Oryctolagus cuniculus: one gene and its partner. Each later gene encodes a partner of the first gene's protein in a complex. Links are inferred from orthologs where the notes say so. Each region holds a gene or a part of one and is shown on either strand. Other genes may lie near its edges. The genes, in order: MEP1A and FETUB.

The links.
Region 2: the proteins of MEP1A (region 1) and FETUB are in contact, whole or in part, in a cryo-EM structure (PDB 7UAI), measured with the Homo sapiens proteins. The link is inferred for Oryctolagus cuniculus from reciprocal best matches to the Homo sapiens genes MEP1A and FETUB. Residues at the interface, in NP_005579.2 of Homo sapiens: Asp126, Gly127, Cys128, Trp129, Ser130, Glu131, Val132, Gln145, Gly146, Cys147, Tyr149, Ile152, His155, Glu156, His159, Tyr164, His165, Gln167, Ser168, Leu184, Gly186, Tyr187, His189, Asn190, Asp192, Tyr194, Tyr214, Gln215, Phe217, Ser218; in NP_001362516.1 of Homo sapiens: Phe109, Phe110, Lys144, Lys145, Tyr148, Met149, Thr150, Cys151, Pro152, Asp153, Cys154, Pro155, Ser156, Ser157, Ile158, Ser196, Ser197, Gln198, Trp199, Val200, Val201, Gly202, Tyr205, Phe206, Thr242, His245, Trp246, Phe249, Val250, Ser251.

What each region holds. Positions count from the first base shown.
Region 1 is NC_091436.1:123,327,136-123,331,733, reverse strand, and holds the start of MEP1A (meprin A subunit alpha), read left to right. Parts: upstream 1-1,524; coding exon 1,525-1,593; intron 1,594-1,678; coding exon 1,679-1,703; intron 1,704-1,795; coding exon 1,796-1,846; intron 1,847-4,598.
Region 2 is NC_091435.1:96,348,245-96,352,482, forward strand, and holds the start of FETUB (fetuin-B), read left to right. Parts: upstream 1-1,360; 5' UTR 1,361-1,361; coding exon 1,362-1,685; intron 1,686-2,020; coding exon 2,021-2,131; intron 2,132-3,912; coding exon 3,913-4,000; intron 4,001-4,238. UniProt on the Homo sapiens protein: Protease inhibitor required for egg fertilization.

The DNA of each region.
Region 1 (4,598 bases):
TGCTCTTACAAAAAAGAACTGAAATTAATATATTATGTGATAATGTGTGCACATGTGTGATTTTCTTTAGTGCATGTAACCAGAGGTGGAGTCTCTAGCCTATAAACTACCACATTTCAATGTCGGAGCTTTGCTATTTCCTTACATTCTTATTTACACCTGTCACATTGGCTTTCTTCACTTATGCCAATCTGAACTTGAAGTGTCATTTCATTGTTGTTTGAATTTGCATTTTTCTGATTACTTGTAAGACTGAAATTTTCCTACATGTTTATTGGACATTTGGGTTTTCTTTTTTTGAATTTTTCATTCATATTTTTTCCCTCTTTTATATAATTCCTATTTTTCTTGCTAATTTATAGAAATTCCTTATCTATCTTGGATACTTATGTAACTATATACAATATAAATATATTTCCTCATCTTTTCTTTTAATACTGTTGTGTTTTGTCATAAAGGAATATAAATTTTTATATAGGCAAATTTATTATTATTTTTCTTTATGATTCCTATGCATTTCTTTTTCTCATTAAAGCAATCTTTCCAGACCTCAAAGCTTTTTGTTTTCTTTTCAAAGTTTAAATTTTTATACTTACCATTTCCACTCAGCTACCTAGAGTTCTCTCTCTCTCTCTCTCTCTCTCTCTCTCTCTGTGTGTGTGTGAATAGTACAGGGTTAGAATTTACATTATTCTCATATGGAAATGCTAGTTTTCCAACATTATTATTGAAGAAACCAAAATGTCCCTATTGACTTTTTTTGTTTCCTCTCATATAAAAAGTCACACTTACGCACGCATCTGTTTTGATACTCTCCATTCCTTTTTGTAGGCTCATTGAACATTCCTTTTGGCAACATCACACTCTAATTTCCATGAATTTATAAAAATTCTTGATAAGGGATTTCTTTTTATTCATCCTTTTCAGAATTCTTACCTGTTCTTGTAAGTTTATTCTTCCATGTCAATGTCAGAAACAGTTTGTCAGTTTGCCCAAATCCGCTGAAAATCCTGTAAGTATTTTTACAAAAGGATGACATTGAATTTATAGACTAATACCAGAGTTATCCACAAATACTTCATATGCGGGGAGAGAGAGAGAAGGAGAGAGAGAGAGAGAGAGAGAGAGAGAGAGTCTTTTTGGTGTCCTTCAATAATTTTATAACATTTCCCTAAAATTCTAATTCATTTTTATTTTGCTAAATACTTTATCATCATTTTATTGATTATTTCCATTGTGTAGGGGATGTTTTACCTATTATAGGAACAGTTACTGCTATACAGGAATGTTACTGGTTCTCATGTGCTCCTTTCAGTGTTAATTTTTCAATTTTCCCAGTCTCTCAAGCTTGAGCTTTTAGGGTAGACTTGGGATCTGTCCTCAGATGCATTAATGCCATCCTCTGTGACTACACAACACTGCAGTCCATAGGGAAGGGTCAAAGTTACTAATATGACAGTCAAGGCAAAGTCCAAAAGGGTTTTATGATGAGGTGTCTTTGCTAAGATCAGTTCACTTGCAACAATGGTTTGTACTAGAACTGCTTGCATTCTCTCTTTTACCTTGTTTTTTGCCCACACAGCAGCTGTATCGGTAAGTAGAGTTCCACTTTTCTGGATATTTAAAAATTTAATTCTAGTGTGTGTTATCCATTTTCAATGTATTTATTTCCTTTCAGATTAAGCATCTTTCTAAAAGAAATGGTAAGAATAAATTTGCAAATGCATAGTGTTACTGAATTTTCTCTCTTTTATCCCAGCAAGACTAGTAACAATTATTTTGCCTCTTTTAACAGTAAAAGATGGAGATTTAGGTGAACAGAAGGATATTCCAGAAATCAATGTAGGTGAGTTCAATTTTTACATTATTAATGTATGGAAAAAATTTAAAGCTCAGTGGTAGAATTATTAAAACCTTCATAATACTATGTTGTGTTACTTTGGGGGAGAAATATTTATTGGTGCCTCATTAAGATTTACAGTTCCCTAAAAACATATTAATACTATGGAAAGAAAAAGAAGTTTAGGCCACATTTTATAAGAGAAATTGTGAGTCTTCAATTGAACCTAGAGATACATACTGTGTTTTCTGTTCATAACAATTTCATTTTTCCAGTTTCTGTTTTAAAAAGACAGAAAACTGTATGAGAATTCTGCTTGCTCCAGAAAATATAGGGAGTAAACCCATGGTTATTCTTAATGGGGTAAAATAAAAAAACCCATTGTCTCCACTGGGCCATCATGTTCACTGCCAGCTGTTTGTTGGGACTTAAAAAGAGTGTAAGGGTGTTTCATTTAAATATCTTTCTCACAAATCTATTTCTTGAGGAAATCCAATGCTCTCATCCATTACTGAGAGGAGAGAGAAGCCTCCGCATATCAGGTGCCATTGTTAGGGTAGGTGCAAGCTGAAATACTCAGGATCATGAACACCTTACTACTTGCAAAAGCTTTTCCTATCCAGCTCATTTATTTGCCCAGCCTTGTAGTGGGGTGGGCACTGGTTTCATTTTTGCAGGAGGGGACAGCAGGCTCCTGTGGCGAGGGTGACTCGCTGAGATCAGGCAGCAGTGAGTCTCCTGACTCACACTTCAACAACCCAGTGTTACTTGAAGACTAAAACTAGGAAATCCTTACCTAAGGGTTAAATGCTTCTGGTCTTGAGTCATTTACAGAGAAGGCAGCTAGTTTATATTTAATGGAAATAGCTTGAGAATGTCAACTTGGGAAGAGCAAAAGAGATTTGGTAAGGTAAATGGGTGTATGGGTGAATGGGTCCCAAGACTTCAGAGTCATCCACTCAAAGAGCTCTCTTTAGAGTCAGTCAAGGTACACACAGTTCAGAGGAACTGTCCCATTATAAAACATGACTGGAATTGGAGTTTTCCTAACCTCATCCTCAGTTATCTAGTAAACATTCGTTCATTTAACTCTGAGTCATTTCTTAGGCTTTGCCCCCCAACCTCTGAACTTGGACCTCAGTGAAGACAAATATTTCCTACATATGAAACCATTTCAGCCAAGCCACCAGGACTGATTGGGGCAATGGTAGCCAGTTCTAAGATCTGGGAAAATTGGCCGGGAAAAATCACAAAAAGAAAGCTGTCGCCTTTTGCTCCTTCCTCTCCATGCCTCACAGGCTGATCTAACCTTTCTTATCTCTGTCTCAAGACCTGATCCTCTCCTCTTTTTCCTTTCAGTAAATGCAACTCCCTTCCTCTAGATTCTAGGCTCAGACCCCAGAGCTGCCCCTGACTCTTAGCCTTTCCTTACATCTCACACACAAGCTGCTAGCTAATGCTACTAGATCTATCTTCCAACTACATCACAGTTGAAATTTTCAGCACTTTCATTGCTAATGCAAGCCACCTCATGGGCTCATCTGTGGCCTCATAACTTCTCTTTCCTTTCACCTCCATCCCCGACAGACTGTTCTACCCAGCGTGGACAGAGCTCTCCTTAGGCAAGCATGCAGATACCATCACTTTTCTCACCCAACCTTCTAACAACTCCTCCTCCAAAACCATCTGTAGGCCTAAGAGCCTTGATTTCCAAAATGTGGTCCGTAGGCCAACGTTGCCTGCTTCACTAATGAGCTTTGCTGGAAATGCGGGCTTTGGGGTCCCACTCCAGACTTACAGGATCAGCAGCTCCACTTTGACAGATCCCAGGTGATTCCTGTGGACGTTATTCTATGAGGACATCAGACCCTGGCTGCCTTTTTCACCTCATTTATTTCTACTCTCCCCCTTTCTTACTTGAGCTCCCCAGCTACCCTGACTGCATAGCTGTTCTCCTGTGAACATGTGGTTTTCAGTATGTGGGCCACCAACCAGCAGCATGAGCATCCCAGGAAACTTGTTAGAAATGAGCATTCTTAGGCCCTGCCCTAGACAAACTGAATCCAAAATCCTAGGGCTGGGGCTCAGTAGTGTTTGATAAGCTCTCCAGGATTCTGGTGCTGAAGTTTGAGGACCACTGCTTTAAGGCATCAGGGCTGTGCTGCCTCCAGACCTTTCTATCTACTGTCACCTCTCTCCAACAGTCTTCTTTATTCCCCCTTCTATGATGGGTCTGCATTAGCAGGAAACTGGAGTCAGGAACCAGAGCCAGGTATTGAATTCATGCACTCTCATTCAGAGTCTTAGCATCTAGGCCAAACAGTTGTGTCTTATGTTCCTTTTTCTACTGCACATTTCACCATCTGCCATACTCTATATTTATTTGTGTTTTTACATATCTCCCCATTCCCCAAATCAAGCATGGCAATGCCTAAGAGCTTTGTTTTATTCACCGCTATATTCCCAGCGTCAAGACAAAAAAAATGCCCAAAAAACATTATGTACTTAATTAGCACGTGCTCCATGAAAAACTTGGGTAGTGAACAGATTGAGGCTTGTTTTCCTTGGATATGTACTTGTTTGGAAAATGCTCTCTTCCCTGCATGAACCCATCCATGCTGACAAACCAGTGGGGCCAAGTCTGTGTGGATTTGTTTACATCACTCTGGAAGTGTTCCCCTGCCTCCTCTCCCCATATCCCAAACTAATCTAGGCCAGCTGTCAGGAAATGCACACCTTTGCCTATGCCAAGCCTAGG
Region 2 (4,238 bases), on another chromosome or scaffold:
AGTGTAGGAAAATGTGATCTAAATGGGTTTCTTCACCCTAAAACACCTGCCAGCACGTGCTGAGACTCCACAAGAGGCTGCATTCCTGCGTGCAGTCGTTCCTACACGTGTGTGAACACAGAACGTGGGAGATGAGGGTGGGCGGGCTGGAGCTGCTCTCACTCCAGGTCCAGGGTTCCGTGGAACGCCTTCGCTGACAAGCCTGTTTCGGTGCTGTCTTCACACCCAGCCTCTTCTCTCCTGATAAACGACGGTGTGTGTTTTTAAATAGAAAGCTTTTAAAAGGCCATTTCTTTCATACAGTCCCAATGGTAGAAATTTCCTGAACCCCAAACAGAAGAGGAAAAAGGAAAACCAGAGTCCCAACCAATGTGTCTCTGGCATGCACCTGCCCATCATTGTCTTCCTTTATTAAAAAACATTTATTTTGTATTTATTTGAAAAGCAGAGTTAGAGAGAAAGAGAGAGAGAGTTACACACACACAGAGAGAGAGAGGAAAATATGGAGAGAGAGGTCTTCCTTCTGCTGGGTCACTCTCCAAATGGCCACAACAGCCAGAGCTGGGCCAGGCCAAAGCTAGCAGCCAGGAGCCAGGAGCTTCATTCAGGTCTCCCACATGGGTACAGGGGCCCAAGTACATTAGTAGCGAGCTGGATTGGAAGTGGAGCAGCCAGGACATGAACCAGCACCTAGATGGGATGTTGGTGTTGTAGGTGGTGACTTTCCCATGGCACTAGCCTTAGTATCTTCCTCTTGTCTGAAGAGGTGTCAGTCTCTTCATGACTTTGCTTCCCTACAGCTCCGTAGAAGGGAGAATAGACTTGGAGTATGATGTGAGAACTCTTGATGTCCCATTAACTGCTTTTCCATTCCATGAAATCCTTGCTTCAAAAGAATGAAGTGAGGCTGAATGGGACACTCTCTCGGCCACATGCCCGAGATGTATTGGGAAGCCCACTGGTGCTTCTGGGAGGTGACTGAGGGGTTCAGCCTCCTTCCTGATCTAGGGGAGGTGTGAGTTCACCGAGCACTGCTGTAAGCCTTGGCCCCGTGCTCCTGCCTAAGTTCAGCAGTGTGGCCAAGGAGAGCAGTCAGAGGCACTTGGGGAGAAGGTGATTATTCCCACCACCACCATTTTGTTCCTGGTGTACACTGGACACAAGTCAGAATCCATCATGATCTCCTAAGGGCCTTGACTAAATATTTGTTAGGATTTACTGAAAACTGTTGGGAAACTTTATTTTGTTTACATGTCCACCCGAATATGAGATTACTCAGGGGTTGATGGTTACACATATCGACAGATCCCATCCAAAGTACTGACTCCAGGAGATCCTTGTTTAGAATTCAAGGTAATAAAATGGGACAACCTGGCAGCCAGAACCACTCAAGCCTGACCTTGAGGCGCTCCACAAGCCAGTCCATCTCTGCAGCTCCACACCCTTGTTTCCCCCTAGGAATGGGTCTGCTCCGAATCCTGGGGCTCTGCGCCCTGGCCGCATGCTGCGGGGTTGTGTCTGTACCCCAGCCGTTCCTCAAGGACACACCTCTGCTCTCCCGGAACTGCAATGACTCAGATGTGCTGTCGGTCTCAGGCTTCGCCCTGCAGGACATCAACAGAGACCAAAAGGACGGCTACGTGCTGAGCCTCAACCGAGTGAGCCGCGTCTGGGAGCACACACAGGCAAGTGATGCTGTCCGCACTCAGGCAGTCATTTGGACAGCTGCAGAGGCTGGCCGGTGGCTGGGAACCCTCAGACAGGTTGGCAGGTACTTTCAAGATTGGGAACTTGGCCGAGAACCTGACAACATTCTATTCTCCACCAGGCATGCTACTATTCTCTTGTGATCAAGAGCCAGTGCAGAGATCCTACTCTGACATTTGTCTAGGGGCCATAACTTTCAAGGTGTCGCCACAAACACCATATCCTTTGGCTGTCTCAAAAAGCAGAGACTTGTCCAGTCTTTGAGTTCCAGCTCCCTGTGGGATGTGATGTGTTTCTCTACCCCTTCCCACAGGATCACCTAGGGTCTGTGTTCTATCTCGTGTTGGACGTGTTGCAGACTGGTTGTCATGTGCTCAGCAAGAAGGCGTGGCAAGACTGTGCGGTGAGGACCTTGCACACCTCAGTAAGTACTCATTCTCGGGGCTCCAGGAAAGAGACTAGGTGCCCTCTTTCTCCAGGTGCAGGTGGTTTGCTGTCTGCCCTCTTTCTCCAAGTGCAGGTGGCTTGCTGTCTGCATGCTTTAACTGGCCCTCTTTGTAGCCTGAAGAGAGGGTGCCCACATGCTTATTTTCATGCTGGAGACAGAATCAAGTCTAACCCATCAGAGGGGTTTCTAGAAAGTTCCACTAGGGTCATGCTGCCCAGAATTGAAAAGGTGTCCCCAAATTGGTTTTGTTTTAATTTTTCTTTTTATATACTAGTTTTGTTATTCATTAGCATGCAATACCGTGCACTGTTACAGGGTATGGTACACTATTTCCACACATGCAGGTAGTGTAAATAGAGCAGATCGGGCAGTTATCCCCTCCTCTCACCCTTTCCAGCCTGTAGTAATCACCATTCTAAGGTCAGAGTAACTTTTTAAACTCCCACGTATGGGAGAGAAATGCAATAATTTGTCTTTCTGTGTCTAACTTCTTTCACTTAACATAACCCCCTCCAATTCTATCCATTTTGCTATGTCAGGGTTTAATTTAATTTAATTTAATTTTAGAGCAAAGAGACAGAGCTGTCATCTAGTAATTTATTCCCCAAATGCTCCCAGTGGCCCCAGGCTGGATGCCAGGTCTGGGAGCCAGGAACTCAATCCAGGTCTCCCACGAGGTCTCCCACTACTGGCAGGAACCCAGTCGCTTGAGTCCTCGCCACTGGCCCTCAGGGTCTGCATAGGATTTCATTCTTTTCCCAGAATTGCTTTCTACCTCAAGATCCTCCTGTAGCTCTCAGCCATTTGTTTACATTGGAAGCAAAAAACCAGAGGCAAAGATTCTGGATGTGGAGTTAAGGAGTGCAGAAATTATGGAAGGAGGGCTTTTTATACTTCTTTTATATTTGCTTTGTTTTGTCTTAATGAATGCTAATGCAAGGGCTGTGGCTAGAGAAAGGGATGGCTTACAGTGTAGGAGCCCTTAGGGGTACCTTGGAAGGATTTCCTCAATCATAGAATCTCAATGGCCTCAGAATTGATCCTTTTAAAGATGAATAGAAAAAGAATAGTTTTGTTTGATTCTCGATTATCCTGGGATTAACATTAATTGACATGAACTGTGTAACCTGAGTACCTGATAATGACGTCTTTGAAAGAAAACTTTTCAAATCATGTAACCAAATTTGTTAAACTGCATGGACTGATTTTGAAAAGCAAATAGTCGATTTCCCTGCTGTGGATTTTGTTAAGATGACGCTAACTGCTGGAGCACGCGCATGGACAGGGATGCACTCACATCACGTGGTAGAAGTTTGCTTCCCACTCATGAGAAGTTCATGTCCAAGACACTGCCACCTGTAACTCATGGCTTCCACAGTGCTCTGCATCATTATGGAAAGAGAATTTTTAAATCCATGCACAGTATTTTCATAATATATGTTTTCCATAAACATTTTGAAGACCCCTTGAATGCATAGATTTCAAAAATTTTTGCACCAAAATAAACTTAATTGTTAGTTCTGTTTCTTCACAAACTTTTTTGATGTTCCTTTTTATACTCACACTTAATCATGGGGGAGGCTTGGAAATGTGTGTGCCCAAGAAGAGGTCAAACAGCTGGGTGGTGATCCACTGCAGCTCCTCCCACTCCAAATCCCTTAACGTCATCTTAAGTTTCTCATTACTTAAAAGTATACAAGTTTCATTGCAGGAGTAGTTCATTCTATAGTGTCACATAATGTATTTCTTGGTTACAGGTTTATGGACAGTGCAAAGCACTGTTTTACATTAATAAGCCAAGAAGAATCCTCTATTCAATTGCTTATAACTGTACTCTTCGCCCAGGTAAGAAATGTTAATTTTAATAAAAGAGGGAAAAGAGCATTTAACCAGAGTTTTGTCAAGCGTGGCTAGGGTTTCTACCATGTTTATTTCATCTTCATTCCAATACCAGTTGCTTAATCTTTCTAGGACTTGCCTTCCCACTAAATGTCAACATACACCTCTCATCTTTCAGTTAATCTTCCTAAATCATCTCCAATAGCTCTCCATTGTGTCCTGCATTAAATCCTAAGTGTTCAGT